4 linked regions of the Diceros bicornis minor genome follow. The protein of the gene in region 1 interacts with the protein of each later gene in a pairwise test. Links are inferred from orthologs where the notes say so. Each region holds a gene or a part of one and is shown in the gene's direction. Other genes may lie near its edges.

What was found.
Region 2: the proteins of GOPC (region 1) and FOSL2 interact in a two-hybrid assay, tested with the Homo sapiens proteins (2 studies listed by BioGRID and IntAct). The two-hybrid records come from large-scale screens. The link is inferred for Diceros bicornis minor from reciprocal best matches to the Homo sapiens genes GOPC and FOSL2.
Region 3: the proteins of GOPC (region 1) and RNF183 interact in binary tests that used the Homo sapiens proteins (3 or more experiments, as listed by UniProt). The two-hybrid records come from large-scale screens. The link is inferred for Diceros bicornis minor from reciprocal best matches to the Homo sapiens genes GOPC and RNF183.
Region 4: the proteins of GOPC (region 1) and RHOQ interact in a two-hybrid assay, tested with the Homo sapiens proteins (2 studies listed by BioGRID). The link is inferred for Diceros bicornis minor from reciprocal best matches to the Homo sapiens genes GOPC and RHOQ.

Annotation. Positions count from the first base shown.
Region 1 is NC_080762.1:18,495,089-18,501,993, forward strand, and holds the start of GOPC (Golgi-associated PDZ and coiled-coil motif-containing protein), read left to right. Parts: upstream 1-3,891; 5' UTR 3,892-4,097; coding exon 4,098-4,385; intron 4,386-6,905.
Region 2 is NC_080751.1:54,562,246-54,569,438, reverse strand, and holds the start of FOSL2 (fos-related antigen 2), read left to right. Parts: upstream 1-4,178; 5' UTR 4,179-4,572; coding exon 4,573-4,674; intron 4,675-6,670; exon of another isoform or gene 6,671-6,768; intron 6,769-7,193.
Region 3 is NC_080767.1:21,550,166-21,557,809, reverse strand, and holds the start of RNF183 (E3 ubiquitin-protein ligase RNF183), read left to right. Parts: upstream 1-4,640; 5' UTR 4,641-4,862; intron 4,863-7,644. UniProt on the Homo sapiens protein: Acts as an E3 ubiquitin ligase catalyzing the covalent attachment of ubiquitin moieties onto substrate proteins. Triggers apoptosis in response to prolonged ER stress by mediating the polyubiquitination and subsequent proteasomal degradation of BCL2L1.
Region 4 is NC_080751.1:38,721,003-38,728,652, reverse strand, and holds the start of RHOQ (rho-related GTP-binding protein RhoQ), read left to right. Parts: upstream 1-4,876; 5' UTR 4,877-4,900; coding exon 4,901-5,042; intron 5,043-5,621; coding exon 5,622-5,680; intron 5,681-7,650. Other genes in the region: basic salivary proline-rich protein 2-like, read right to left, coding at 4,169-4,876. UniProt on the Homo sapiens protein: Plasma membrane-associated small GTPase which cycles between an active GTP-bound and an inactive GDP-bound state. In active state binds to a variety of effector proteins to regulate cellular responses. Involved in epithelial cell polarization processes.

The DNA of each region.
Region 1 (6,905 bases):
ACAAAACATAGTTATCTCATAAATTTTAACTATGGACTAGGTAAAATAATTCTCAAAGCCTAAATTATATTGGAGTTATTAGTGAAATCAACCAGATTATTGTTAAATGAACCTTTCTTTTTAAGTTGGGAAAAATATTCTTTGGAATTTAAAGGAATAAGTATTTTATAGATATTCCTAACCCCTGAGCCAATATAAAAATATGTTCAGCTATGCTCTCTAGCAGGTATCAAAGGCATACCTTGGAAAGTGACTGCTTTTAGAATCTCTTACATAGAGTGTTGTAACATCTTAATTATTGAACTGACCACACAAATATTTTCAGCATTCCTACTATAGCCCAGGTCTTGTGTTAGGACTTGGTATTCAAAGATAGCAAGATACAGTTATTGCTGCCAAGGAGCTCACAGTTTAAGGGGCTCCAAAAAACATATGATAAGTGCTATAGCAGGTATTTGCAGGAAACTAAACAGCAATGGAGTCCATAGCTCCACATGAGGAGAAAAAAGGAAGGCTTCCTGGAAGAGGTGTCTGAGCTAAACCTAAATCACTGCAACAAAATTCTCAAGTTTTAAGAACAAGAGAGCAAACAGTTGTTCCGTAAGGGTATATAAAAGGAATAATCAGGAGAATGAGGCTAATAAATCTCTTTGGAATGCCCAAACTTACTTCTTTAGCATGTCTATCACAAAATTTCAAATTGTTAGTAAATATCAATAAATATAAATAATACACATGCATATGATATTCCAAGACTTTTCCCACATTGCTCCAGTAAAATGGTAGTGGGTTTTCCTTGGCTTTCTTTATTCATCATACAACTGTTCATAGCGACCAACAGCAATTACTACCTTTTCCTTTTCCTGGTTGGATTACTGGAGAGTAAATGAAATGTGTGAAGCTTAGTACAGGACCTGGTACACAGTAGAGTACAATAAATGGCAGTATCGTTCTCCATTCCAAGGTAGATCTTCTATGGCCATTCACCTCGGTGTCTTTGCAATTAATGTTTGAACTCTACACTAACCTCACAGCTAAATACCAGTACCTACCAGAGAAATCTTTAGCATGTTCCCTTTTTCCCCAGTTTCCTCAGTCTCTCCCCTATTTATTCTTAGTAATACCTTGTGGTAAAACTCTAGGGATAAGTTCCTAAAACAGGACTGTCACATTTAAGTTATAGTAGAAATGTTTAATCATGTAAGCATGATTCATGAAACAGCAACATTGCACTTATGCCAATGCAATTGCAAATAGAAGTATCATGATTTTATTATCTCTAGAAAAATAAACTCCACAAGTATTGAGATTACATACAATTCCAAATTCCAGAGTAAGTCAAGATAAGGCAGTAAATGTAATAGAGCTTGCTGACAGCAGATGGCAGCACTTGAACATCAAACTCGGCTCTTCACTTCCGTGTTGGTCTGTGACTTGCAGAAATGCAAAACCCCAATCAAAGTGGGCAAATGAGAATGTCCACATAGAGGGCACCTCATGAGTATTTGAAATAGTCACATAGAACCAAGATAGCAAGCACATAGGGATGTGGCAGCTGGTACATGGTGTGATAACGAGAAGAGACAATATGAGATGAAAGTATTTAGAGGCACAGAGGGTGTGATTTGTTGGAGTTGTAAAGATCACAAACAGAAATGGAGGTGGGTTCTACAATCCTGGAAATGGAGATCTTCAAAAAGGATCAGAGCACTCAAAACATATAAATACTTAAAATGCATTTCAGTTGAACCCACACAATACAGCAAGAAGTGGAATGACATTTTTTTAAAGAAACGAAATTTATTTTCAAGTGTAGTATAAACTAAAGAGAGTGATAAGTAATAGTGAGTATTACAATTACTTTTTTTTAAGGAACATTTCTTATATATTAATAGATTTGCATACGGCTTATAATTAGGAAGAAATTACTTTTTTGAAAAAACTTTTGGCCTGATTTGCCAATTTATTATACTGGTAATTTATACAAGAAGAAATGGATTCCCTCCTCCTTATATAACCCATGGTTAACAGCTAAGACTTTGGAGAAAAAGACATCTAAATTGAAATCTCACCTCAGTCGATTTTTAGCTGTGTGACCTTACCAAGATACTTAAGCTCTCTGTGGCTCATCTATAAAAAAGTGATAATAGCTTCCTCACAGGATTTTGTGAGGGTCAAAGAACTGAAGCAAATAGCACAATGCTTAATACACAGTATGTACTCAACAACTGAAAGCTATTCCTATTATTGTGATTCCATGTATGTGCCCTCCCTCCAATTTTACATTATTTACTTCAAATTCCTGAAAACGCATTGCTAACTATATTATGTATAGAGAAAGTGGCTGGCAACTTGGTAGCTGTACTGATGTTCTTGCAAATACTGAAATATTGAAATATAAAGTTAATTTGAAAAGGAATGGGGAAAGATGCAAATTTTAGTTTTACATTATTTTTTTGTGTATTAAAACCTGTATGAAGGTGCCTATTTAAGCTCAAGGCCAGGATCTCACCCTTAGTTTTGCTTAGCTAAGTCTGCTTAAGTCAAAGGACTTTATTGACCCATGTTAACCAGTCGGCCCTGCAGTCTCCAGACAGCAAACCAAACCTATGATTTCTTATTCCTCACTGGCCTTGCGTTGGCGAGGGGCACAAAGTGCTGGCTTTGGTGGTGATTAACTGGAAGAGTCTGTCCTATGAACAGATCATAAAAGAGTCTGTAGTCGGCCAGGAAAATATTCCCCTAGGCAATGCAGGAGAGACAGTTTCTACCAGCCTTCTCTAATCAGACTGGTTTCTCCGTCCTTTTCCAAGACCGGGCTACTCTTGAGTAGAAGAGGGTTAAAAGTGAGTAGGTGGAATGGTAAAGAGCAGTTGCTAAACACTCCCAAGGGTACTGCAAAATTCAAATTAAGTTGTAGCTATGCAGGTTAGACTCACTAGCCTGTGAGCTCTGCTTGACTAAGGGTCATGTCTCATTTATTTTTGTGTCCCCAATGCCTCAACAGGGCTCTGCATTCAATATATTTATGAATATGTGAGTCTTCATAATTGTGTTTTTCTGAAATGTCACATGTGGGTACACTGTACCAGTTTTTGAAATAAGTACACCTTTTGAAGTAGTTGCTTTGGAAATGCATGACCTGCGGTGTAATAAGGAATAGCAAGTGCCAAGCACTGAAGCTAAGCATTTGACCTCATTACTGAGCGTAGCAAATTTTGGAAACTGAGGCTTCGAGATTAAAGACTACAATGAAGACGGCACAGCTAATATGTGGCAGGGTTTAATACTTGAACCCAAGCCTGCCTCTTAATTACAAGACAAAATGTATTGTATTAATTCAGCAAAACCTGGGCAGCCGCTGTCCTTCAACGTGCAGCTCTAGGCAGTTTCCACCCAGAATTTAGGGCCTGGTTTACCAAGAAGAGCCAGTTTGTCCATCCACCCCACCCACCTTACCCGCCTCACCCTGAACAGGAAGTGGAATGGAAAAGGTAAAACGTGGCCATTGCGCATGCTCAGACCGCCCTTCCTCACTTTCCCTTCCCTGCCCCTGGACGACACCGCAGAAACTTTCCCGGACGACTTATAACGTCCTCTGCCCACTGTGAAGTCAGACGGGCGGAAGTCGTTCCTCTCTGCGACGTGGATGCCCTTCTCTTCCTCGAGCCGTTTCAACTTGGAAGCCGATATCAAGCGCCTCTGTTTCTCGAGTATTCAAACTGCAGTTTGCCAGTAGTCAATATGGCCGCTGACGGGCGGGTCCCAAGCAGAGGCTTTTCATAGGCCAAGGTCGCATCCTAGCCCCGCCCATTTCGCCCCACCAGGCTGCGTCCGTCTGGGTCTTCGCTACGCATGCGCAGCGGGGGCGGGTCGTGAGGTGGGACGGCCCGCGTCTTCCGTGTGCCGCCGCCGCCGCCTCAGTGTGGCTGCTGCTGCCGCTCTGGGGCTGCCTTGCCAGCCTTAGCCGCGCGAGGGGAAGGGAGGGGACCCAGGGAACGTGCGTGCGCGGGGGTCCCCGCAGTCCCATCAGTTCCTCTCGCGCGGGGTGGGCGGGGGGGGGTCAGCAGCAGTTGGGGGAGGCCCTGGACAGCGCCATGTCGGCGGGCGGCCCGTGCCCGGCAGGAGCCGGAGGGGGCCCCGGGGGCGCCTCCTGCGCCGTGGGGGTCACCCCCGGCGGGGTATCCATGTTCCGATGGCTGGAGGTGCTGGAGAAGGAGTTCGACAAGGCCTTCGTGGATGTGGATCTGCTCCTGGGCGAGATCGATCCGGACCAGGCGGACATCACTTATGAGGGGCGACAGAAGATGACCAGCCTGAGCTCCTGCTTTGCGCAGCTTTGCCACAAAGCCCAGACTGTGTCCCAAATCAACCACAAGCTAGAGGTGAGCTGCGGGCGCTGGAGGGGGTGGCATTCAACCCCGGTCGTCAGATTCTATTTAACGCACCAGGGAAGCGACCCTAGAAAACTGCCCACTAGGGCACCTGGGCTTCAAATGTGACGGGGGAGTGTGTGTGTATATGTGTGAAGGAAAGGAGTGAGGTGAAGTTGGAATAGAAAAAGGGGTGTAGATCGACGTGTGGGTCTCCCCGTGTCATCCACCTTCCTAGTATCTCTATGAGGAGGAAACAGGAACTAATTACACCAGCCTACTTGTACATATTACATTAACAAACCTAAGATTAAGCTCAAAGCTTCTCTGTCATAAGAATACCTTAGCCCACTCTTTAACATTTGGGTTTTTAGATCTCACATTGATAAACGAGGTATTTATGTCACCAGACAGATACACTCCTGATTATTTTTAACCATTTCAGGTCAAGGTCTGTTGTTGCACACAGACATACTCTTACCAGCATGCATGAACTAGTTAGGGGAATTTGATCAATGCTGTTAGGAAGATTTAGTGGGATAAACACTAAATAGTATCAGTATCCTTCTTGGTTTACAGTTGGTCTTTAAATTACAGGCGTATACCTCCAGAGCTCCCTACAATTATTTAAATGACTTCTAACATTGAGGTTTTGTTTATGCTTTACTATATTTCCCAAAATCTGAATTTATTTTTTAGAGTATGTGAAGAATGGTCATTTGCTTAAGTCTCTAATCTTGGTTGTGGGTGTGGGTGGATGGTGATGGTTCCAAAAAAGCAAAAAAACTTACCATATTGTGCACCAAATTAAATTAGTACATTATTACAGTATTTAGAAATCATGATAGATTAACATTATTACATAAAGAGCATTTTCTAACTAGATAATTTAAATAAGAGAATGGGTCTTCATTTTAAATAGATATAAATAGGATAATCAGTGATGTACAAAGTCCTTTGAACGTTAGATTTACTAAGAAATCATCATTGCTATCAGTTGTAATGCTTGAAAGTGCCCATTGGATCCAAATCAATATGAGTATCAGATATGCATCGTCTCCTTGCTTGTGGTTAGCATTCTTTCTCTTTCCTGTCAGTTAGCCATGAAAAAGGTGGGATAATTCATCTTTGATTAGCATAGAATTGCGTATCAGAGATTTTGTGACTCTTCTCCCCTGAAAGGACTGTTCATTTCTTCCATCCTTTTTGAAAAGGTTGAAGTGGGAGTGCCAGTAGGAAGCTAAACACTTCTTATGAAAATGTCTCTTGATTTCTTGATTAGGGGTAATTTCTAAAAGATATTTATTTTTCTCAGTTAGTGAAATTGCATTTGTTGGTTTTTAGAAATAGTACTTTAGGTTTAAGTAACAGAGCAAGAGTGGCTTTTACCACATGAGAACTTCCGTATCATTTACAACTGCAAGTATCTACTGAGAATAAACAGCTTTTAAAAAGTGAAACAATATCTAATTCATTTCTTTAATGACTTAAGGAAACTTGAAAGAGTGATATTTTGATGTCAGATATAAAATCTAATTTTGGAGAAAGGATCATTCTGTGAGTAGGAGGTGGTGCTCAATTTTTTTCATCTTTAAATATTTTAGATAAATATTCAGAGCTATAATAAATTATGCATGTTCTTTTTTTTCAGAAATTATAGTTACATATTCTGGCTCCATGCCTGGCTTAGGAGGTGGTGTTATTTCTCAAAATAAGAAATGCTAACCTATCACAATGTGAGCATATTTTTTCAACATGCCTGAAACCCTTGATTTAAAGATCTTAGAAAATGGGGAGGGGAGAGACTAATGTGATTTTTTTGTTGTTGTTTGTGTATTTTTTCAGTTACAGTTGACTTATCAAGTCTGTGGGGTTAATCCTTCTACATGTAGCAATTTCCACAGTTTTCATGGAATCAGTTGTGTATTGCTAAAGAGTGAGGTTCATTGTCAGTAGTGCCTTTGAAAGTAGATCTGCTGCTGTATCATCTACAGAATTTCAGAGGTTGCTCCGTATACTGTTATCAGTCGTCTGAGATCTTGAAATCTTTGAAAAAATTTCCATACTTTTTGCCCTATTTTATTTTATTTCTTGAATTCTATTTTTTTAAGGATATGGAAATTAAAACATAATATTTGAGACCACTTATGGTTTGGTATAACAAATGTGCACCAAAGTTTAGTGGTTTTAGAGACTAATACCTTAAGCCATATTACCATAATAAAATATCTTTATAATCAAGACACAGATACCTCCAGTATGGGTAGCTTATATTTAAATTGGTCTTAAATATCCTTCCAGATTACTCCTTCTTCTCTCCAGTTATTGTGTCTTTAGGTAACACCACATTTAATATTAATATAGTAGTTAGGAAAACAATTTTGATGCAAAAAAGTCATAGGTTACATTTTAAAATTAAATATGAATGACATCTATGTGACTGCTTCTTGCTGTAAGTTATATTTGGGGAGAGGGCTATCTATAAGGGAATGGGGAGGGCAGAGAATATCAGAATATTTTGAGAGAGTGCCA
Region 2 (7,193 bases), on another chromosome or scaffold:
CTTCTGACCTGTCAAGCTGGGAGCATGGGTCATGTGCAGAGCGCTGGGGTAAAGTCAGGTGAGAGAAGTTTGAGTTCAGGCTGTGACAACCACAGGCTCGGGAGTCTTGAGGAGGCTGCCTTGCCTTTCTGTTCCTCAGCCTTCTCTTCGGCAATCCAGAGTCACCTCTACTGCTGTCACATCCCTGGCAGGGATGTTGTGTGAGGACAAGTGCATGTATGTGAAAGGGCTTCATGAACTGTCCAGCTCTCAGACGGGGTGGGGGGGTGGGGGTGGGGGGGGTGGGGGGGCCAGTGCAGCCCAGAGTGGGCGGTCGTTCTGGGATTTAAGTCAGGGCCCAAACATTGGACTGGAGGGACACAGGAGGAAATTGGCAAATGCAGGGCAGGGAGGTCCCAGAGACCCAGAGAGACAATGAGAAGACAGCCCAAGATACCCTTTTCTTCCCACTCCAGCTCACCTCCTCCTCTTCCCTCACTTGACTTGACCTTTCTTTAGCTGAGTAGTTCAGCAGAGAATTAAGGAGCACCTCTAAATATAGGACAAAGCCATGCACCAGATAAAGTCCATGCTTTCTGGAGACCAATAAGAGAGAAACAAAGACATTTCCAGTAGGAGGCCAGTCATGCAGTGTCCCGGGTAAGAGGAACAGCCTGGTGTCATACAGGCCCAGCTGCACTTCCAACTGGGTCACTAACCCACTAATCAGTTCTCCTGGACAAGTTCCTTAATCTCACTTTCTTCATCTGCAACCAGGGAATAATACTCACCTCAAACATTTGTTGGGAGGATTGCATGAGACAATCCCTGCAAAGGATTCAGCGTGGTGCCTGACTCTCGGTAAGCGCTCAATAAAAGTTGGCTCTATTCTTAGATGTTAGTCTGGGGAGCCAGAGGATCCTTTCTAACTGGGTGATACTGGAATGATTCCCCACGGAGGCGGCAGTGAACCGGGCTTGGAGGCTGAACTCTCGGTCTGGCAGCCACAGTTCGGCCAAGGCACCAGTTGGACCAGCCGCTCAGTCCCCGAAGCACCAGGGCGCAGCTCTGTGTGTCTGGCGCTTCGTGGACTGAAAGGTGAGGACAGACTGCGAAAAGGCAGGCATCCAGCCGGACAGAGGGAGCCAGCACAAATTCTGGAGCAGGGGAAGGCCAGGATCAAAGCGCTCCAAGGCAGGCCGGGGCGCACCAAGGGGAGGCTATCGACTTGCATCAGCACGGATTCCGTGATGCTCTGCAGACGTCTCGGGGCTGCCGGGCTTTACGGGAACCCACAAGAAAGGAAAGGGCCGGGGAGCAGGCTGGGCGGGGGCTGACGAGAGAGAGAGGGTGCGCTCGCCCTCCCGCGCGCTCCCGGCGCCGCCCGCCCGGGTCTGGGCGCGCCCGGGACGGCGGAGGCCGCGGAGGAAGCTCCGGCTCCCTTTCCCCCTCCTCCTTTCCCCCCCGCATTACTGGAAGGACTGTGTGGGAGAGACCCAGAAGCACCCAGATTTTCGAGGCGGGGTGGGGGAGGGTCAGGCAGCCGCTGCTGCTCAAAGGAAAACCAAAAGCGCGTCTGTTCGCGCCGCTTCGACAAGCGGCTGCTCCCAGGAGGGCCCTGGACGCCCCGGCCATGCCAACCTTTGCATCCCCCCCCACCACCCGCGAGACCTGGCTAAGTCGGCGGGGGCCTGGGTGGCGCAGGAGGAGACGGAGAGGCGAGTGAGAAAGTGTCACGATTTCTTCTCCTGCGCTCCCCCCCCCCACACAGTCCCCACCCCCAGTTTTCTGGGTTTTGCCGCTGCCGCTGGGGAAAGGGCTGATCGGTTTTGCGTCAAAGGACTGCATTTACTCAGTCCTGCTGGGAGAGGCGCGTAAACACGCAGGCAGTCAGGACGCAGGGATGAAAAAAAAAAGAACCCAAGCACCGCGGCGGGTGTGCGCATCCGCCCGCCCCGCACCCCTCTCCTGGGTCTGCAGAGTTGGAGACTGCCCGGAGGGCGGCGGCGGAGGTTCGAGCAGTCTGGCCAGCCTCGCCTCGCCGCGTGCGTCCTTGGGGATGGAGCTCAGGACAGAAAGTGTTTTATAGCTGTAAACAATGACCCCGAGTATTGTTTGGGATTACCGTATTTTAGGGCCATTGGGGCGGCCAGATGCCGCCAGCCGTCCCGGAAACGCCAGCGCTTTATATAGAGCCCAGGGAAAGCTTTGAGTTCCCGGCTCTATTTTTCTTGCCTAGCAACACCCCCACTTTACAGATAAGGAAACTGAGGACTGGAACTGTGATGTGTTACAGCGCATAGCTCTTCACAGTCTTCACTCATCTTGCCGTTGTGTCCTCACAAGGACCTTGTGGGGGTGCAGATGACCCTACTTTAGAGTTGGGTAAACCGAGGCTAAGGCAGAGCCTGGACCAGAACCCAAGCTTTGACTCCTGGTACAGTGTTCCTCCGGATCATCTCTGCAGAAAGATTGAAGTTCCAGAACTGATAAGGGCCTTAGAGCGTCATCTGTCCGAACCCCTTCATTTTATAGGAAGAAACTGAGGCCCAGAGAGGTTAAGGGACTCGCCCAAAGTCTCACAGCTCGAATAGCACAACCTGGCGTTCGTACTCCAAGGCCTGTGCTCTTTACCCCGCACCTCGCCCCGCCCCGCCCAGCGAGGCGGGAAGACCCAGGAGCCCGGACTACCTGCTCCCTGAACTTCGCTCCAAAACAGCTGAAAACAACATTGGGGCACACCCTCTCCCTGGCCTCACCCCCCGCCCTTTCTAAAATACATAACAGTCTGGAGTTTGCCTATGATGTCCGATTACTCTTATTAGATGCGACCTAAACGCCCGGCATAGAGGGCGGCCGGAATGTCTTGACTGGTTAATTTCGTCTTCAAGTCTACTCCTAACAAATTAATTGTAGGGCCAAAAAAACAGGGGGGGAAGTGTGGGCAGCCAGCCACCGAAGGGAAAACAGGCAGGCCCGCCTCGCCCAGCGGCGTCGCGCCCCGCCAGGACCCGGCCGCAGGGCGGCGCGGGAACTCTCCGCGCCCGGGGCGGCCGCTGCACCGGCCGGCGCCGCGCAGGGCGCCGACGACCGCGCGCGGCCGCGCCCTCCCTGCGAGCGGCTCTGCGCGCCCGGCTCCCGGCCTGGCGGTGGCGCCGCACTGAACCGCCTGTCTCGTTCTTCAAGACTGTGATTATTTTCTAAAACCCGGCGCCGAGGCCCGCGCGGCCGCTCTCGGGGGCCCCGCCCCGCGCCCCTTCCCAGGGCGGTGCAGGGGGGTTGGGGAGGCCGCGGCGCGCTCGGGAGCGGGCGAGGGAATCCCTCTCCCTCCACGTCACCCGAAAGCAAGGGAACCCGCACTCGCATCCTCTAACGCAAATGACCATCTTTGGCAACGTGCGCCAATGGAACAGACCAAGGGCGCTGGGCCCGGGGGGTGGGCGGGGGTGTGGAAGGGCCAGGGCTGCCTTGGCTCCCCCAAACCGCGCCAGCGGTCGGCTCCCACCCCCGCCACCGCCTTCCTTCCTCGCGCGGAGTGTGCGGCTGGCGTCAGCGCGGCCAGGAGCCGGGGCAGGGAGAGGAGCTCTATGCCCGCCTCCTCCCGCGCCTCTTTCTCCTCCTCCTCCTCCCCCCGCCTCCCCGCGCGCTCCTCCCTGCAAGGTGGAGTCTTGGGGTTGACGTGAGTGAATCCACATGGTGGGGGCTGGAGAATAAAGAGTGTGGAGTTGAACTCGTGCCATTGTAGTGACTCATCTCGGGCTGAGCGCAGGGGCTCCGAGCGAACCAGCGAGCAAGCGAGCGGCGCTCGGCGGGGACAGAGAGAGGGGGAGAGAGGCGCGGACGGGCGAGACTGGCCCGTCCGGGAGCGGGCGCCGGGGAAGGGGTGCAGGTCCGGGCGCCGGAGCCACGGCACGGGGAGCGGGGCCGCGTCCCTCTCAGCGCCGGCTCAGCTTGAACCCCACGGGCCGCGGGACGGGCGCAGGCTGCCCTCTTCTCTTAGACAAGTGTCCGAGCCGCTCCGAAACTCCGGCGGCGAGTCGGCCACAGGAAGTTTATTCTCAGCTCCCTTTCTAAAAGGAGGAAATAGAAGTTTCTCCAAGCGGGCAGCCTTTCTTTTCGCCTTTTTTGTCCTGACTGAAATCGAGGGCCCCCAGATCTGGCAGGGAAAATTGCCAGGGTCCTATTCTTTTTTTAATTTCCAGGGTCCTATTCTTTTTTTAATTTCCAGCTTTTGCTTGGGCCGGAGGTCCCGGCTGGGCTCCGGCTGCGCGCGGGGGCGGGAGGGCGCGCGCAGGGGAGGGACTGAGGGACGCGCCGACTTTTTAGAGGGAGGGACTGGGTGGACAACTGGTCCCGCGGTGCTCGTAGAGCAGGAAAGAAGTGCAGTGCGAGGCACTCGGGCGGCACTGTTCCCGGGGTGTCGTCGCCTCCCGGTCCGTCCGCGGTCGCCGCCGAGGGGAAAGAGCCCGGGAGCGAAGACTAGAGCCCGAGGCGCGGCCGGCAGGGAGCGAGCGCGCAGCAGCCGGTGCGCGGCCGCGGCGAGGGCGGGGGAAGAAAAACACCCTGTTTCCTCTCGGGCCCCCACCGCGGATCATGTACCAGGATTATCCCGGGAACTTTGACACCTCTTCCCGTGGCAGCAGCGGTTCTCCTGCGCACGCCGAGTCCTACTCCAGCGGCGGCGGCGGCCAGCAGGTAGGTTCGGGGCCCGAATGCACCTGGCGGCGCTGGCGGACCCCCGCCCTCCTCTCGCCGCCACTGCCTCTTTTGCTTTCTTTTCCCTTTCTTGATTTGGCGAGAAAATTCCTACGTGCCACTGTTGTAAAGTCTGGATTTTCGTCTTGTCCTGCCTACCCCTCTTACCCCCACGCCACCACTTTTTTTTTTTTTTTTTAAACTGGAGCGGGGAGTGGGCTCGAAGAGCCAACAAACCCTTTCCTTCACACTACATCTCATCCAGACAAGCTCCAGGAATTACAGGCCACCTTCCCAGGAGCCTGTTACCTTCTCTCCCAGGAATCCCGCCCCCCTTCCCCTCTCTCTCCCTGGTAGGCAAAAAAATCTTTGCATCCACTGGCTCTTCCCGACATCCAGGGACCCTATTCCTGTGGGAAAGCTCTCTCCTTCTCTTCCCCCATTCTCCGTCAGTCTTAGTTAATTTCTGAAAGAGGCTGAGGACTCGGAAACATGGTTGGGCTCCTTCAAGTAATCCGGAGTGAGGGCGAGGGTTGCCGCTCTGGGAATCAGGTGCGAAGGTCAGGAAGGAGGAGGTCAGCCTTGATTGGCTCGGGCGGCGCCTGTGTGCCCTGCGCCCGTACATCTCCTGTGAGGGTCGGACCAGGAGCCTGCACTAACACCAGAAGGGGCGCCTTCAGTGTACAGGGTACCTGAAGCAAGGACGCCTGCAGAGAGAAGTGGGAGAAAGGGACCTCCTGGGCGGTTCTGGAAGCAGAAAAACAACTTGTTTCTAAAGCAGCCGAACTGGTTTGCACTGGAGGGGTTGTGCATGCGATCTGTGTGTCTATAAATTCCAGAAAAGTGCTGGTGGGGTGGTGGTGCTGGTGGGGTGGTGGTGCTGGTGGGGTGTCTGCCCTCTGCAGCAGGTCCCCCCCAGGTCTGTGAGGGAGCTGGCTTAACACACAGGGCCACTACAATCTGAAGCCCTCCTCAGTCAGGATCTGCTGAGTGTCCAGCCAAGTTGGCTGCAGCACGAATTGCTCTGGTAAGGCCGTGGCCTTGGCCTCTAGAAACCAGCCAGCCAGGAAGGGCTGGGGTGGGCTTCCAGGGAGGTGTGGACTCTGCTGGAGCATAAAATGGAAACACAGCTCTCTTTGGGATTTGAAGAGGGATACCTTGTTCCAAAGTAATTCCCCATACCTGGTGAGTCCCCTAAATGGCTTCTCTGTGTCTTTCCTCTACTTCCTCTGGTGTCCCCGTAAGCACGCACTCTAGAGAGCCTCGTGTGTGCATTGAGGGTGCAGTCAGTGCACCCCGTAATGAGCACCAACGGGATGAGTTTCAAATCTTGTCCCTAAAAGTGTTTGGTTTTGTTTGCTTTCCAGCCCCATTGGTGGTTTGTATTGAATCCAAATACCATTAGGCAAAGGGTTGGAGTCATTTATACCCATTCCCTCACTCTCCAATTCAACAACCCCCAAATGTCCCTCCCTTCCTCCCGGAATCAGGAAGGGATCGTTTGATTTCTTGTCTGTTCCTTTCATTGCCGTTTCTGTGGCAGTCATCATTGAAATATTACAGTCTTGCGGCCTGGCTTTGCTCAGACCCGGGGGCCTGGATGGGAAGTCAGACCGGACATCAGTGCCCCGATTGAATAATCTGTGTCACTAGGGCTTTGAGCCCAGGATGTGAGCGGAGGCAATTCCCTGTTTTGGAAGAAAATCAGACAGGAAACCAGTGCTAGGAAGAAGGACGAGAACTCGAGTCCAGCAGAGTGTAATGGGGCCTCTTTACCGAAGCAGAAAGCAGCTGTTGGCTCATTCCTAGCCTGCTGTAACACATGAGGATTTTGCGATTAGTAATAACCAGTGCACGGGGCTCTCGCATATATGCCTGCCCGTTCAGCCAGGCAGCTTCCAAACCGGAGGGATTGGCAAAGTCACACCACTTTAGACAAGTTTCTCAGCCTGTCCACTCCTGGCGGAGGGGGTGGTTTTTTCCATCATCTCTCCAACTTTGAGCAAAGCTGGTCTGCGGTCCTAAGCACCGACTTGAGAGGCTTTTGTTACTTCACAAGTCTTTGCTGTGACCCCACCCGATCCTGGGCTCAAGGTAACTTTATTACATATGAGATAAAACCCGTAATCACTTTATTTCTCTCAGCTTCCTTCACGGGGCGACTTTCTGGGCAGTTAGCGATGGGCCTTCCTCCTTTGTGGCGTCTCAATGGACCAATCAGTGGAAGAGAATTCACTGGTTTTTCCTTGGGCAAGTGGATATGATTTTTTCCTGATCTCTTTGTTTATAGGGTCCAATATTCCTGATAAGTTTGTTGCTATTTACTCAACCCAGTACTTTCCTCCCCTCTCTCGCTTCATAAAGCTTGATCCTCACACATGGCCATGAGTTCCAGTGACTTGGGGTGAGGAGGAGCAGATAATTCTTTGTGAAAACCTCTGTTCTTGTGTACGGCAGGAACTTGAAGCATGAGAAATATTTCCTGTTCCAGTTATAGTTTTAATCTCAAAGGTTGGTCT
Region 3 (7,644 bases), on another chromosome or scaffold:
GGCAAAGTTTTTTCATTAAATTTGGTGCCAAAATTGACCTGACCTTACGGTGTTTATTCTTTTTGGTGTCAATATTTATAATAATTGCAGAATATTAATGCATTTGATTAGAGGGTACTGCCCTAGATCCCACTGGGAGAGTTACTTAATATATGGTAAATATATCATATGATCTTCTTTACTATGAGAAATTCTGAATTCTGAAACATCTCTGGCCTAAGGGATTGTGACCTTGTAAAACCAATTCAGGTGCTGCATAAAGCAGATGCAGTGTGATGCCCATTCCCAGGTTGGGACTGACCCAGCCCTGTCTAGGATTTCTACTTCAAGGTGTCAAGTCCTGGGGAAATCTTTATGAATCTGGAGACGAATGTAATCAGGATAAGTCAAGGAGCATATGTAGGGGATATTTCTCCTAAATCAGTACTCCTCATGATTTACTGTGTTTCTGAATCTCCTAGGGATCTTGTGAAAATGCAAATTCTAACTCAGCAGGTCTGGAGTGAGCCTGAGGTTCTGCATTTCTAACAATTTCCAGGAAATGCCTACGCTGCTGGGACTGTCCTAAACTCCAGACAGGCCTAAGGCAAGGTTCTGAGGATGACAACGTCATGCCCCACAGGGAGATTGCCCTCTGCCCTCGGCGAGGTGGGGGGGCTTGTTAAACACTGATCACCAGCTGACCCAAATCTGCCTCATGGCTGCCTTTCTCCATCCTCCACTGCTCATCCCCGCCTTCTGCTGCCTCTTCGTCCCCCGATGGGTCCGTACTGCCCTGCACCGCCCCTCCAGACCTTGGCTGGGCTCCCCTGTCTCATGACTCTTCACTCATCCGGTTCCAAGTACAGCTTAGACGAGGTGCTTTTCCGGCTGGCCGACCTCACCCCCCAGGCATGAACTAAATTTGTTCAACTCAAATTCCTGAGACGCTTAATTATCTCTCCTGGCTATCTCCCTGGAAAAATTTTCCAGTCATTGCAAAGGACTCCCTAGCCTGGACCACTCAGAGACATTGTAATAATGCATTTGCTCACTAGACAATTGGTGACCCGGAGAAGGGCCATGGTTTATTCTATTCAATGCCTGCAGTGCCCTGACCGATTTCTTATGTGTCCTCTCTGCTTTTCTTTTTAAGTTTGGTTTCCCTGGTTGCAGAAAACTCAGCCTGACTTACTTTCCAACTGAATTTTCCTATCGTATTACAAAAGTAATACATATTTATTAATGAAAATTTAGAAAATATAGATTAGAAGAAAATGACAATACCAGTAAGCCCATCACCCAGAGATAACCACTGTAACATTTTTGCCTCACAGCATTTCAGTCTTTATATAAAAATTTTGTTTTACAAAATCTGGCTCATACTACATACAGTGTTTTGTAAACTGCTCTCCCCGCCATTTACAGTGTATTGTGACCATTTCCACAAGTCAGTACAAATTCTTCTACATCATTTTACACGATTATGTAGTTTTCCATTTAATTGATGTGCTTTAGTTGGGCTTTTATGTTGTTTTCAGTCATTTGTGGTTAAAATAAAACTGCGATGAACATCCTCACTCAATCGAAAGATACAGGCATATTCCGATTCTAACACCAATTCTGATGTGTGTGTGTTTAACAACACCAAGCAATTCTCCGACAACAGCTGGGTGTCCTACAATTCAACTCAATTCTGCCACCAACTACATGGAGATAGCATCAGATCCCACAGGTCAAGGGCTCCCACAAGATTGGCCCCTGCTTCAGATGCCAATCGCAAGTCCAGGTTGTTACCTGTGCTTCTGAGCAACCAGCTATAGATGGGTTAGACCCCCTCTTTGGGTTAGATTAATTTGCTAGAGTGGCTTACAAAACTCAGAGAAAATATTTACTTACGTTGACCAGTTTATTATAAAGGCCACAGATAAACAGGGAGACGGAAGAGATGCATAGAGCAAGGGATGGGGAAAGGGCGCTCATGCCCTCTCCAGGTGCGCCACTCTCCCCAAGTTCAATCTCGACAAGTTCACCAACCTGGAAGCTCTCTGAACCCTGTCCTGTTGGGTCTCTACAGAGCCTCAGATACATAGGCATGATCGATTTACTTATTGACCATTGGTGATTGAACTCAGTCTCCAGCCCCTCTCCCCTCCCAGGAGGTGGGTGGGGTAAACCTGGCTGACAGTTCCAACTCTCTAATCCCTTGGTTGGTTCCCCTGGCAACCAGCCCCCAACGTTAGGTTACCTAGCAGCTTTCCAAAATTTGCCTCATTAACAAAACAAAAGACAGCTTTATCGCTCTCATCTCAGGAAATTCCAAGGGTTTTAGGAGCTGTGTGCCAGGAACAGGACAATGACCAAATATTATTTATTATAAACCACAATATCACATATATCTTTTGGATACCTCCAGGAAATTATTTTATTAGGTCAAAGTGTATGAACTTCCTCATGCTTTGCAAGAATGTTGCCAAACCAGAAAGCATGGCTTCCAAACTCTCAAATACAAACAGATCCCTTGGGCTGAAGCGGTGTCTTCTTGAATCCCCACTAACTTTAGTTAACCAGCCATGATGTTGGAAAGGGGGAATTCCAGAGCTGAGGGCGATCTCCAGGCCACCAAGGCATGCTTCAAGACATCTCTCTGTCTCTGGCTCAGAAAGAGCAGGAAAATTGCTTAGAGATCTTTTTTAGGGATCTAAAACTTCCCGAAACTCACAACTTTATTTTCACACAATTCTAGGCTAATGTAAATCCTGTAATCAGTTCAGCATTTATTTTTCCATCCAATATTTACATATTTAAAATGAAGGGATTAGACTAATAGGAGAATAGTTAAGTAATTCATGGTACAGCCATTCAATTAATTATGGTACAATCACTTAAAAACTGACAAAGCTCTTTATGGACTAATACAGAACGAGAACTCAGATACAGCATTATGTGAAAAAAGCAGGGTGCAGAACGGTGTAGACAATACGCACATTTGCATAAAAAGGAGGCAAAGGAATACACAGATGTTTCACCATAGGTGTTTTGTTTGTGTACCCATAAAACATCTTTGGAAAGATACACAAGAAATGAAGAGTATAATACCTTAATGTTCAGAGACACTAGGCGGCTGGGAGAAGAGCATTTTCATTGCAATATCAAACCTTTCTCCTGCTGAACAACGTGAAAGTATTACCGATTCTAAAATAAAATAAAATTTTAAAAACACAAAATGAAGGGACTAGAGTATTTGAGTATATCACCAGTCAAATACATTTATGTATTGTTGTTTATTTTCCAAACCCCTTTAAAAGGTCAGTAAAGGAACAAAAGGAGAGGACCATATGTACAGAGAGCATGAGAAGGAACAGAAGATGGGCCACGTGAACACGCTTCTGGCAGGTGGTAAGTAAGGCACTGGCACAGATTTCAGAGCCAGACCTGTAGTCCCAGTTCTTTAACTTGTATTTTTTTTTTTTTTTGTGGGGAAGATCAGCCCTGAGCTAACATCCATGCTGATCCCCCTCTTTTTTTGCTGAGGAAGACTGGCCCTGGGCTAACATCCGTGCCCACCTTCCTCCACTTTATATGGGACGCCGCCACAGCATGGCTTGACAAGCAGTGCGTCGGTGCGCGCCTGGGATCCGAACCGGCGAACCCCGGGCCGCCAGCAGCGGAGCACGCGCACTTAACCGCTACGCCACGGGGCCGGCCCCCTTTAACTTGTTTCTCACGAGCTCTTGGGCAAATCGACCCCTTACTCACTTTGAGCTTCTGATTCCTTATCTGTGGAAGAGTAAGGATAAGTTGAGGATTTTCTGTATCCCATATTGTGCTGGACCCTGTGCCTCCTGGGACTGCTGGGAGCATTCACTGTCACAGATCAGAAGCTTTAGTAAAGCACAAAGAAAACTGCTATTATTCCTTTAAATAATAGCAGCATTTTTAGCTACTGTTATTTTAATATTTGTCAGTCTGATAGGAAAAAAATGAGTATCTCATTTAAATTTGAATTTCTATAATTACAAATGAGGTTGAACAATTACATAGATACTCCATTTGCATTTCTTTGTGATTTGCCTGATCGTATATCATAATAATCGTTCTGGTTAACATTTACTGCGTGTTCCCGTGTACCAGGCACTGTGTTATTATGATCTCTACATGGATTATCTCATTTAATCTGCAGATCAAGTAGGTAAAATTATTATGCCCAGTTTCGGGTGAGGAAACTGAGGCTTCGAGTTAACTAATTCACTCAAGTCTCCATGGCTAGTAAGTAGAGTCTGGATTCTGAGCAAGCACTTGACTCTGACCCAGAAGTCCCACTTGATTGAGAACACAGGCGCTTCATGCTTATGCTTAAATGACTCTTCCCTGATTATTTGCCTTTTTCTTAATATTCTGCAAGAGCCCTTTGTATTTCGGTTGTCGGGGCTCGGAATAGGGAAGGATCTGTCTGGGCCGAGGGCAGAGTGGCTTAGAGGCAGCCTACCTTCCCGTCAAAGGAAGGCTGTGCATGAGTGAAGAGGTAAGGCAGCACGCAGAGGGCGAGTGCACTCAGAGACCACGGCAGGAGACCAACCCAACCCAGGACAGAGGCCTGCGAGGGTAAGTGGACTCTGACCCCCTCCGAGAAGGAGCCAGAGTGACTCACAGGAGGAAGATGAAACCACAGCTTCCAGGCTATCTCCCGTCTAACACGCAGACAGTTCAAGTCATGAGAAGGAAGAAGAGGAAAACCTGAAACAGAGAGAGCTGGCCAGGAGCTGCCGAAGACCCATGCAAATAAGACCCGCCCACAACTGCCTGGAAACCAAGCCACAAGCGAGCACAGGGCACACGCTGCAGGGCGCGGGGAGAAGGTGGAGGAGGCTCTGAGCGAGCAGGTAAGGAGCCAGAGAGAGTCACGGAGGGCTGGGTCGCGGGGCCCCAGGGCCCAGTGGGTGAACGCTGGCCTGGAAGGCTGGGCTCCTGGGATCTTCTTTCAAGCTCAGCCACTCTTTAGCTGTGAAGCCTTGGGCAAGTCACTTCACCATTCTGAACCTTGGCTTCTGCATCTGTAAAATGGGTATAAAAGTATCACGCTAACTGTGTATGGAGCGCCTGCTGTGCTTTTACACGTTACGTTACCCCTTCTTCACAGCAACCTTGTAAGGTGGGATTATTAGCCCATTTTACAGAGAAAAACGAAGCTCAGAGAGGGTAGGCCATTGGTCTAAGACCTCACAGCAAATAAGTCTGGTTCCAAAGCCTGCGCACTTTCAACTCCCTAGCCTGCCTCCTTCACAGCTGCGGTTTTAAAGAATCAATTGGCCTCTGGCAAATGGAAAAAATTATAAAAGGCAATTATATCATCTAGATGTGAGTCACTGCACTCCAATCCTAGCAAGGACTGGGGCCCTTTGTAAACTGTGACGTGCTATAAAAATGCGAGTTCTTCATCTCTCTCTTCTTGAGGTTGAAAACATTGGGGTGAGGCTACAGACAATTAATATTTGGCTGACTGACTCGGTCACAGACTGAGATGATGCTTTCGGGCAATGTTCAGCACTTCGTGTAGCTGAGATGTCCCTGCTTGAGGGTGAATGGGGGGTGGATACAGGCCAGAGTCTCTCCTGGAGAGGCTGGTGTCTGACCAGCTGATCCGGAAACAACCAAAGATGCTGAGGGACCACGGCAGATAAGGGCCGGGTGCTTGATGCAACAATGATCATCCCTCTTGATAGCCCTTTACCATGGCCATGGATCTTCAGAAAATGTAGCTCTGCTTTGGGGAGAGCGGGGAAATCTTTAAGGGTAGTAATACAAGCTTACTGTGGTAAAGTGAGAATTTTCAGATAAGAGAATTGAAAAACAAAACAAAACCCCTATAATCTTACCCCCAGAGATGACCACTGTTGACATTTTGATATCTGTCTTTCCAGACATTTTTCCACTGCACAGATATATTGGAAAATTGGGTTATATTGTAATATGGTTTATTACTGGTTCTTTTCACTTAATGACATATCATGAACATATTTCCATATTAATAGATGTTTGATCACATCATTTTATTTTATTTTATTTATTTTTTTGTGTGAGGAAGATTAGCCCTGAGCTAACAGCTGTTGCCAATTTTCCTCTTTTTGCTGAGGAAGACTGGCCCTGGGCTAACATCTGTGCCCATCTTCCTCTACTTTATATGTGGGAAGCTGCCACAGCATGGCTTGATAAGCAGTGCGTAGATCCACACCCGAGATCCGAACCTGCGAACCCCGGGCCGTCGAAGCAGAGTGCGTGAACTTAACACTACGCCGCTGGGCTGGCCCATATCACATCACTTTAAAGGCTGCAGAATGTCTTTTCATATGAATGAAGCACAATTTATTTAATCAATGTCCTACTATTGGATAATTGAGTAGTTTTCAATACTTCACCATTAGAACCCTACTTTGATGGGTATGTCTGTAATCAGATCTTTGCACGGGTCCTTGATTCTTTCCAGGGGATAGGTTCCCAGTGAGGGAAATGCTGGATCAAGGCTATGCACATTTCAAGGCTTTTGATAAGTACTAAAGGTCTGCTTCTGACACTCTGCAAGTCAGGGGCTCCTCCAAGCTCAATGCAGAAAACTGTCGTAGCCTCAGACCCTGCCTCTCTCTCAAATCCATTTGCAGGGATAACGCCAACTACCACACAGATAGTCTTCACTGGGTGCCAGGCTCTATCTAAGAGCTTTGCCCTCCAATGTATTACTTTTAGCTCCCTTTTCAGAAGAAGAAATGGAGGCACAGAGAGGTTAAGCAATTCACCTGGAATCACAGCTCTAATGAGCAGTGGATCTGGGGTCACGAGCCTCAACAACCTGGTTCCGGAATCTATGCTGTCCACTGCTTCTTGGGAAGATTCTTTTACCCCACCCTTTGGATCTTCTCCACCACCGCCTGACCTACATTAAGCACCACCATCCCAGCCTGGACCCCTGCTGGAGCCCCCAACTGGTCTTCCGTTTCCACTCTGCCCTTTCAGTCTGTTCTCTGCTCTGCAGCTGGAATGGTGTTTTTAAGATGGAAACAGAATCAGGTCACCCCCCCTACACACACACACACACAGACACACACACACACACACACACACACACACACACGCACTCTCAACCCTGGAATAAAATCCAGACGCATCCATTCCCCAGCTTCTAGGGCCCGCCTCCTCCCTTTCTCCTTCATTCTGAGCCACTCTTCCACCCCAGGTCCACCCACTGCACCTCACCCCGTGACCTCCTTTCACGTCCTGAATTTGGCGGAGCTTTGTCTTACCTCAGGGCTTTGGTACATACTGTCCCTTTGGCCTGGAATGTTCTTCCCTTCAGGCAGCATGGCTTCCTGCCATCCTTCAGTGTCAGCTTTCATTTCACTTCTTTGGAGAAACCTTCCCTGGTGGTCTCATCTGCAACCCCCAAGCCCATTTTCCTTTCTGTCCTTTACAGCATTCATTAAAATTATGTATTTATTTATGGCCCATTACTCCTGAAATGTCTCTTTCCCTCATGAGACTCTAAATGTCATGAGGTCAAAGACCATGTCTATTTTGTCCACCATTATTTACCCAACGCCTAGCACAGCGCCTGGCGAGCGCTCAATGACTCAACAAATGTTTGCAGATGGATGAATGGTCCACAGAAGAAGG
Region 4 (7,650 bases), on another chromosome or scaffold:
TGACAAAAAATGAATATATTTTAGAACCTTACTGTCCCTCTGGAGTTTTACTCTCAGCTTGATTTAGACAGTTGGTCACCTGGTTAGGAACTAACAGGAGCTAGGAAAGATTTAACAAGTGAGAAAAAAGCCCAAAGAAGAAGTAGGGAGGATAAAAACAGAGGAGATTAAGAAGGAAAAGAGAGGGAGAAGGTCTGTGAATCATAACGTAGAAGCCTCAGGGTCATCCTAGATCTTGCCCACGTTATTACCAAGCCCTGTGGATTCTGTCATCCAAATATCCCTAATACCCACGGCCTCCTCTTCATGTTCACCGCCATGCTTGCTTCAGACCTTCGTGACCTCTCTCCTCCTCACTCTCTCTGCCTCCACTGTCATCCCCTCCAAACTCATTTTCTACATCACTCCCAGAGTGATCTCAAATGACAGCCCTAAACTGGTCATTTTCCTACTGAAAAACTTTTGATGCCTCCTCTATGTGGAATGTGGAAAATAGCATGAGCTTTGAAGACAGATCACTCTGAAACCTGGCTCTGCCACTTACCTGCCCCAAATCCGGCAAACTTCTCAATCTCTCTGCATATCACCTATCTCAACTTTAGTGATAATACTGTAACAGTCAGGATTCCTTTGGTTACCAGTGACAGAAAACTAACCAATACTCACAAGGCAAAAAGAGAGAGGGGATCTATTAACTCAAGTGACCAACTGAGGAACAGCAGTACAACAGGGTCTCAGGGATAACCACAAGCAGGAACTCACAAATAGCCTGTGTCATCTCTGCCTTTTTTGGGGGGGTTTAATGTCTATATTTTTGCTTCACTCTGCATTTTAGCTTTATTTTCTTGGATTGGCTATTTCATGAATGTCTGAAACACAAAACATGAATGGCCGACAGCTTCCAGGCTCACCTTTTCCAGTTTAGTCAGTAAAAGAGGGGAGATTCCTGTTTTGAAACCCAAATTTAAACCTTTCAGGAAGGGGTCTGACTGTTCCATCTTGGATCAGGTGCCCACCCACGGCTAATCAACAGGGTTCAGGGGCTGGCTGTGTGTGAAGATGGCAGCTTCCATTTAAACCACATGACCACAGAGATTAAATTACAACATATAATAGAAGCAAATGGTGCTGTTCTGCATAGACAAATCAATAGACATTCTCTACAAATTTTATCTCAGATAGTTATTTTGGGGGTGAAATAAGACGACCTCCACAAAGGAGCATCAACTCCCCAGGACAGTGCCTGGGCACAGTACACAGCTACAGCACGCAGGAGATGCTCCACAAATTCTTACTTCCTCCCTTCATCACATCCTCACTCCCAGAGCCACTGTTTGCCTTTGTCTTAGTAGAAAAAAAGACCCCTCTCTGGGTGGCTGCAGCCCTACAGGCACAGGTTTGACAAACAGAAGTCACATCTGTGATAAGAAAAAAGTGCCCCTCCTTCCAATGAACACAGCCTTGAGCCAGAGTCATGACTTTGTGGGTAACATGTGAGCCAGATTTCTCCTTTCAGCTTTGTACAGTGCGCAGACTGCCCTGCCTGGGAGGGGTCCTACATGCCTCTTAACAAGGCTTTCAGAGGCCCATGGACTGGCTGCATTATACAGTTCCCAGTTAAATACAAACCAGTCCCCTTGCACCACTAATCCTGCACTCTGTCCACCCTAGATGGCTCACCATCCCCAAGAGGTTGTGTGCTGTTCCTTCTTGCCCTGGTGCAGGGCTGTCTTTCCCAGGTATTCTCATCTTATTCCTATTAGCCTCTTAAACCCCAGGCCAACAACACCCTTCTACAAATCCTTCCTCAGCACACCCAGAGCTAGGTATTGACAGCCTCATCTGCACTTCCAGAAGCCTGTTCTTTATCCTCTACCACAGCACTGATCATATTATATAGTAATTACCTGTTTGCTCATCAGTTCTTTTCAGCAACTGCCGCTTTCCAGCTCTTCGTGCCCTGCTCAGGAATAAAGCCTGGCATCGAGCAGACCTCAATACATGCTTCTTAAATGAAATACTGGATGAATCAATGAACAGCAAGAAGTAGAGCAAAAAGAGGAGAAGGCTAAGTAGAGATTTCACTCTTCTCACACGGACGTGTGAGTATTTTCACATTTGCGGTTGACACAAGGGGAAAAAACCAAGCACAGAGCCTATGGGACGCTTAGAAACAAAGTTGCTTCCTGTCCTTCAAATTTTTTTTTTTTTCCTCCATTTGAGGCATTATCTTCTTTGCTCGTAGGAAAGTGAGCGTGGGCTGCCCTGGGGCACCCAGGATAATTCCCCACTCCCCCTCCACATACACACTGGGGGAATCAGCCCCGAGTTCCAAGTATTCCTGGCAGTCAGTTTTGGCTTCTCTATGGGCCAAAGGGATGAGGTCACCGTCATCAATGAAGTCACCCTGCATGATTCATCCCACGTCAGTCCCCCACTTGGAGTGTTCTGATGTTCCCAGAGCATCCAGAACTTGGGATCCTCGCTATTTTTCAAGGTTCTGGAGCTGATCTTCCAGTTCCCTAGGTCCCTAGTAAATGTCTGCCCCTCTGGGAAGTAGTGTAAGCACTGGGAGTCCTGAATGGAGGAAGCCTCGCAGAAGCCTCCATCCTCCAGTCCTGGGACAGACCTCATCATCCTTCATGGAGGCCTTCCCTGTGTCTCCAGCAACTGCCTCTTCCCTTGTCCCAAAGCTTTTACCAGGATCTCTCAGGACACATTCCGAAGGGCCCTAGAATCCTCAAGGGTGAGACCTGATCTCACCCTTACGGATGAGCTCAATTTATGGATGAGAAAGCTGAGGCTCAAAGAAGAGAAGTGGCACGCTCACAGTAACACTGCTAAGTGGTGTCTGAGCTGGGACCAAATGCTGGCTGAGTGCATTCCAGGAGCTCCTTAACCTCTTCTGATAGACCTTCCTTTCAGAATACTAGTCCCAGCAAATGCTGCCTGAAGAAATGGTCCAGTAGACAAAGGGGGCAAGTCTTCCCTTCTTCCTCTCTATGAGGAAGCAGCAGACTGGCCTCAATCCAAGATCTGATTTCAATCTGTCATTCAGTACGTACAAAGTGTCTTCCGGATTCATTGCATAATCTAAAGCAGCTGGCAATGCAAATACCTACACTCAGATGCAAATGGAGGGGTCTGGTGAGATGCTCACTGTGACTCCACAAGGAACTTCCAGTAATCCAGGAAGTCTTCCTGAGACAATGGAAATCAGATTTGGGGTTTGAGATTTGAAGCCTGGGAAGTGAGGCATGGGGACACAACAGTGAGCACCTCCAAAGTGTGCTTCAAGTCCTTGAAGGCTGGATAACCACTTCATCCCCCTATGTCTCAGTTTGCTTACCTACAACCTGAGGGAGATCTAAGGGAGATGTTCCAGTTGACCTCTGTGCTGCCTCTCAACACAGCATTTTCCAATCCTGTGAATCGATGACGGGAAGCATTTATCTCATGTCAGCAAAGGGGAAGGGGGGCGGGTTGTGCTGTCAGCGTGGAGTGCACCCACTGTCCCCTGCCCCTCTGCCCCAGTGCCTAATGTTCAGAGCAGCGCTACTGGCCAGTGAACGGGACCTGGCCAGACGGCTGTTTCCAAGCTTTGCCCAGGCAGGGTGGCAGGGGTTGCCACCTGATCGCAGGCCAAGTCTTGGAGCTAGAATGTATCACTCCTCAGGGATCACAACCTTCGAGGGACACTCGGGACCGTAAGGGGGCCTCAGACCTCAGAGAATGTCGCCTCCAGGGGGAGCACAGGTACACTTGCCGCACCAGAGCCAGCAGGGTCTCCGTTTTCTGACCGGTTCGGGGGTGTTGCAGTGGTTCAAGATGTAACTCCCCCAGTCACCAGTTCATAGTAAATGATTCAAGCTCGTGCTGTAAACGTCATGAGATGGTCGTGGTGGAAGGCGGACCAAGCAATAAACCAGTCCCTACTTTCCAGCTCAGGAACCACCCCCGCCCCTCGCCCATCACCCCGCGCGCCATGAAAAACATTTTTCTTTTAACTGTCTTGGCCTTTCTTCCCGATTTCTAGTTCTGTTGTGCACTTAGAGGCCGATAGGATGGATCCTGTCTTCCGGATGGAGTTTAAATATATATGTATAATTTTGCATGACTATTGCGTCATCGTTGGAGTTGTGATTCCCCAAGAGGCCTCCTCGTCTTCTCACGGCATCGGGGCCTTTGGACGCTTCCGGGCGCTGCGGGCACTTGCGCGAGGAGCCCTCGGCTCATCCCTAGTGCTTCTCTCCCGGCCCCCTCCCCCAGCCTCATCTTCCTCCTCCTCCCTCCTCCTTGGCTCCTCCTCTTCGCCCCGTCCCCTACCCTCGCGGGGAGTCAAGCTAGCGTGAGCGGGCAGGGCCGAGTGGTGGCCGCGGGCGGGGCGCGGGGCGCGGGGCGCAGAGCCGGCGGGCGGGCGCGCGGGGGCGCGGGGAGGGCGGCCGGCGCACGGGGGAGGCGCCTGGGCCCGCCCTCCTCCTGAGCCGAGCCGGGAGGGGGCCCGGGCGGGCGCGGGGCGGGGAGAGCCGTCTGGCCCCTCCCCTCCGCTGCCCTCCCCAAAGTTGCCGTCTCCCCCGGGGCCGGACAGTCTTATGATCCAGAGGATCCTCCTGGGGAGGCCGGGCCGGGGAGAGGGCGCGGGCTCGGAGCGGCGGGGGCAGCGGGCGGGCGCGGCGACCCGGGCCTGGGCGGGGATCGGGGCAGCGACCGAAGCAGCGGCAGCGCCCCGGGCCCGCCGCCCCCTCCCCTCGGGCGGGGGGAACCGCTGCATGGGGCCGGGGGGGCGGCCCTGCTGCGCGGAGCGGCGGCGGCGGCGGACCCCCCAGGCGGGCTGGGGCTGAGCCCGGGGCCGGGGCGGGGGCTCCGGGGGGACCATGCCCGGAGGCCGGCCGGCCGCAGCATGGCTCACGGGCCCGGCGCGCTGATGCTCAAGTGCGTGGTGGTCGGCGACGGGGCGGTGGGCAAGACGTGCCTACTCATGAGCTATGCCAACGACGCCTTCCCGGAGGAGTACGTGCCCACCGTCTTCGACCACTACGCAGGTAAGCCTCGGAACTGCTGACTAAGGGGCCGCTCCCCGGGCCGGCAACTTTGGAGCAACTTTGGCGGAGCCCCCTCGCTGCTTCCCCCGAGCGCGCTCCCCACCCGCCCCCCGCCGCGCCCTCCGCCGGGCGCCGGGTCCCACCCCCAGGGTTTGCCTCTGGCGGTCCCCTTCGCCTGCAGATCCGAACCCCCTTCCTACCCGCCTTCCCCACCCCCGCGCCCAGTCCCGGCTCCCTGCACTTTCCAATCCCCTCGGCGCCCTGGGCCGACCTCCTTGACCTTCCCACAGCCACCTCCCTTACTGCCCCAAGTCCCCCGGGGAAACATTTGGGGAGACCGGGCGAAACGTGGCTACGGGACTCGGGAGAGGGGAGTGGGGAGCTGGGGGCCGCATCGCACCCCGACCTCACGCCACTTCACAGTGAACCCGGCACAAGGGAAATGGAGTGACATCTCCTGGGGAGCGCCCGCCTGCTTCCAGCTGGGTTGGGAGAGGAGGGTCCTGGTGGGGAGCGAGATTGCCCCAGAGCTTGGATAATTGTGAGCTTCTCTCCCCGCCCCCACTTCTGCCCTTGCAGTCAGCGTCACCGTAGGGGGCAAGCAGTACCTCCTGGGACTCTATGACACGGCCGGACAGGTGAGTGTCTTGGCCCCTGGCCGACACCCCCTTTCCTTTCCCCAACTCAGGGAGGCTGCGAAGGGCCTTTGGAAACTGAGGTGTCTAGGAGGGAGGGTGTGTCTGCGAGAGGCCCCTCTGTGTCAAGTCTTTATTTCTTTTTTCAAGTCAGCAAATTAGGAAAAGGATAAAAAAAACCCAACCCAGCGCAGCCCACCCTATGTGAACCCCTGAGCTGTGAAAGTTTTTGCCTGTGTGCACCTTCTGTATGGTGCCTGGTGTGCGGGTCCCAACTCCTGTTGCAAAGTGGCAGCGGCCAATCGTGAAGCGCCCTTATTTTTAGTTGCAGATGACCAGGTCTCCCCTCACAGCCTCTGTCTGGTCCCTCATTGGTGAGTGGTCTGCCTGCCCGAGGAGCCTGATTGGTGGGAAATGGCATCATCTAATATGATGGGAAGGCATTTGGTCCTGGTTATGTTTATTACAACATCATTGCACTCTGGGACTCGAGTCCCTGAAAACGTAATTTGTGGTGTTACCAGAGGACCACAGGGAAAAAAGAAAAGAAACAACAACCATCCAGCCACTCCCAGGGGCGGGGTGGGAGAGGAAGGGTTAGGAGTTCAGAGTGATCTTGGAGGAAGAGCTTTTTTTGCCCCAAGGAAAGCCAAGTGACTTTGTCTGGGTTTTCTTTGGGAGAGATTATTGTGCAGAAAGAAAATGCACATTCCTCCTGGCAGCCAGCCTCTGACCAAATTATCTGCAAATTAGAAGTGGCTCCTAAAGAATTAAGGTCTCTTCTCTGTCTCTGTCCCAGCTCCACCCTCTTCCAGACCTACTTTTGCTGTGGGGTTAAGATGATTGTGTGTGATGAAGTTTTGCAGAATCCAGCCCTGTGATTAGACCTAAAGACTTGGACAGAAGTTTCCACATGTCATGCAGACTTGAGTCCTTGAGGACCTGTGAGAAGCTGAGGGGCTTAGTATCTTTGGGGCATATCCAGTAGTACAGTTTCCTTACCTGTACAATGGGGTTTAAACAATTCAGACCATTCCCCTGTGCATATATTATATGCCAGATGTTTCCCTCTGAGTCAGGCGCTCACTAGGTAGCTGTTCAATAAAGGGAAGCTGTTCTTTGTAGCTCTTCTAGATTTGGATTTCAGAATTGTGGTATCAGGGTAGATTCTGAAAAATGTCTTGTTGGGGAGTGCCTTGATGTGCCCTCCGGCTTCTAAACTGTTAAGTTAGAGGAGTATCTGAGGATAGAGAAACTGTTGGCCGTGCAAGATCCCTGAGGCTGCCCGCTTTCCCCAGACTGACCCAAGTCAGTCCGACCAGTTCCTGGACCAGTTCCTGGCTTTCTGGGGCCCTTTTAGTGGCCTGCCTTGTAGTTGTTACTCCTACCTTTTTTGGAACGAAGGGAGGGCAAGAGGCAGAACTCACTCAATCCAATGAGGCCAACTTTGAGGCAGTACAGTTGATAAACATACAGGTTGAAATTATTGGTTGAAAGGAGAGAGATTTTTAAAAATTGTCTCTAATTTTCACTTCTCTCACTACCGCCCTTCTCTTCTCTCTTTTGCATGTCACTGTGACCATTTTTTGACCACAACCTGTTTTCAACAGGACATGTGTATGTCAGAGCTGTTCTGTGCACATTCAAACTCACCTAGTATTTACTGAGTTCATTCTACATATCAGGCGTGGGGCAGCCACATGCAAATATTATTTTCTCCACAGAACAACCCTGTGCCATAAGTGATATTCCGTCTTTGCTGATGAAGAAACTGCGGCTCAGAGAAGCTAGGTTGCTGACCTAAGGTCACACAGCTACTGAGCAGTGTTGCTGGGACTGGGACATGGGTCTGAGTTTGCCGCCAGTTGAGGTGCTTATATCCACAGGAAGCAGTGGGAGGTCCTGAGATGCCACCCGGAGTTGATTGGATTGCTTGTGTGTCTATAGACATGGTACCTGGAATCTTCACAGGC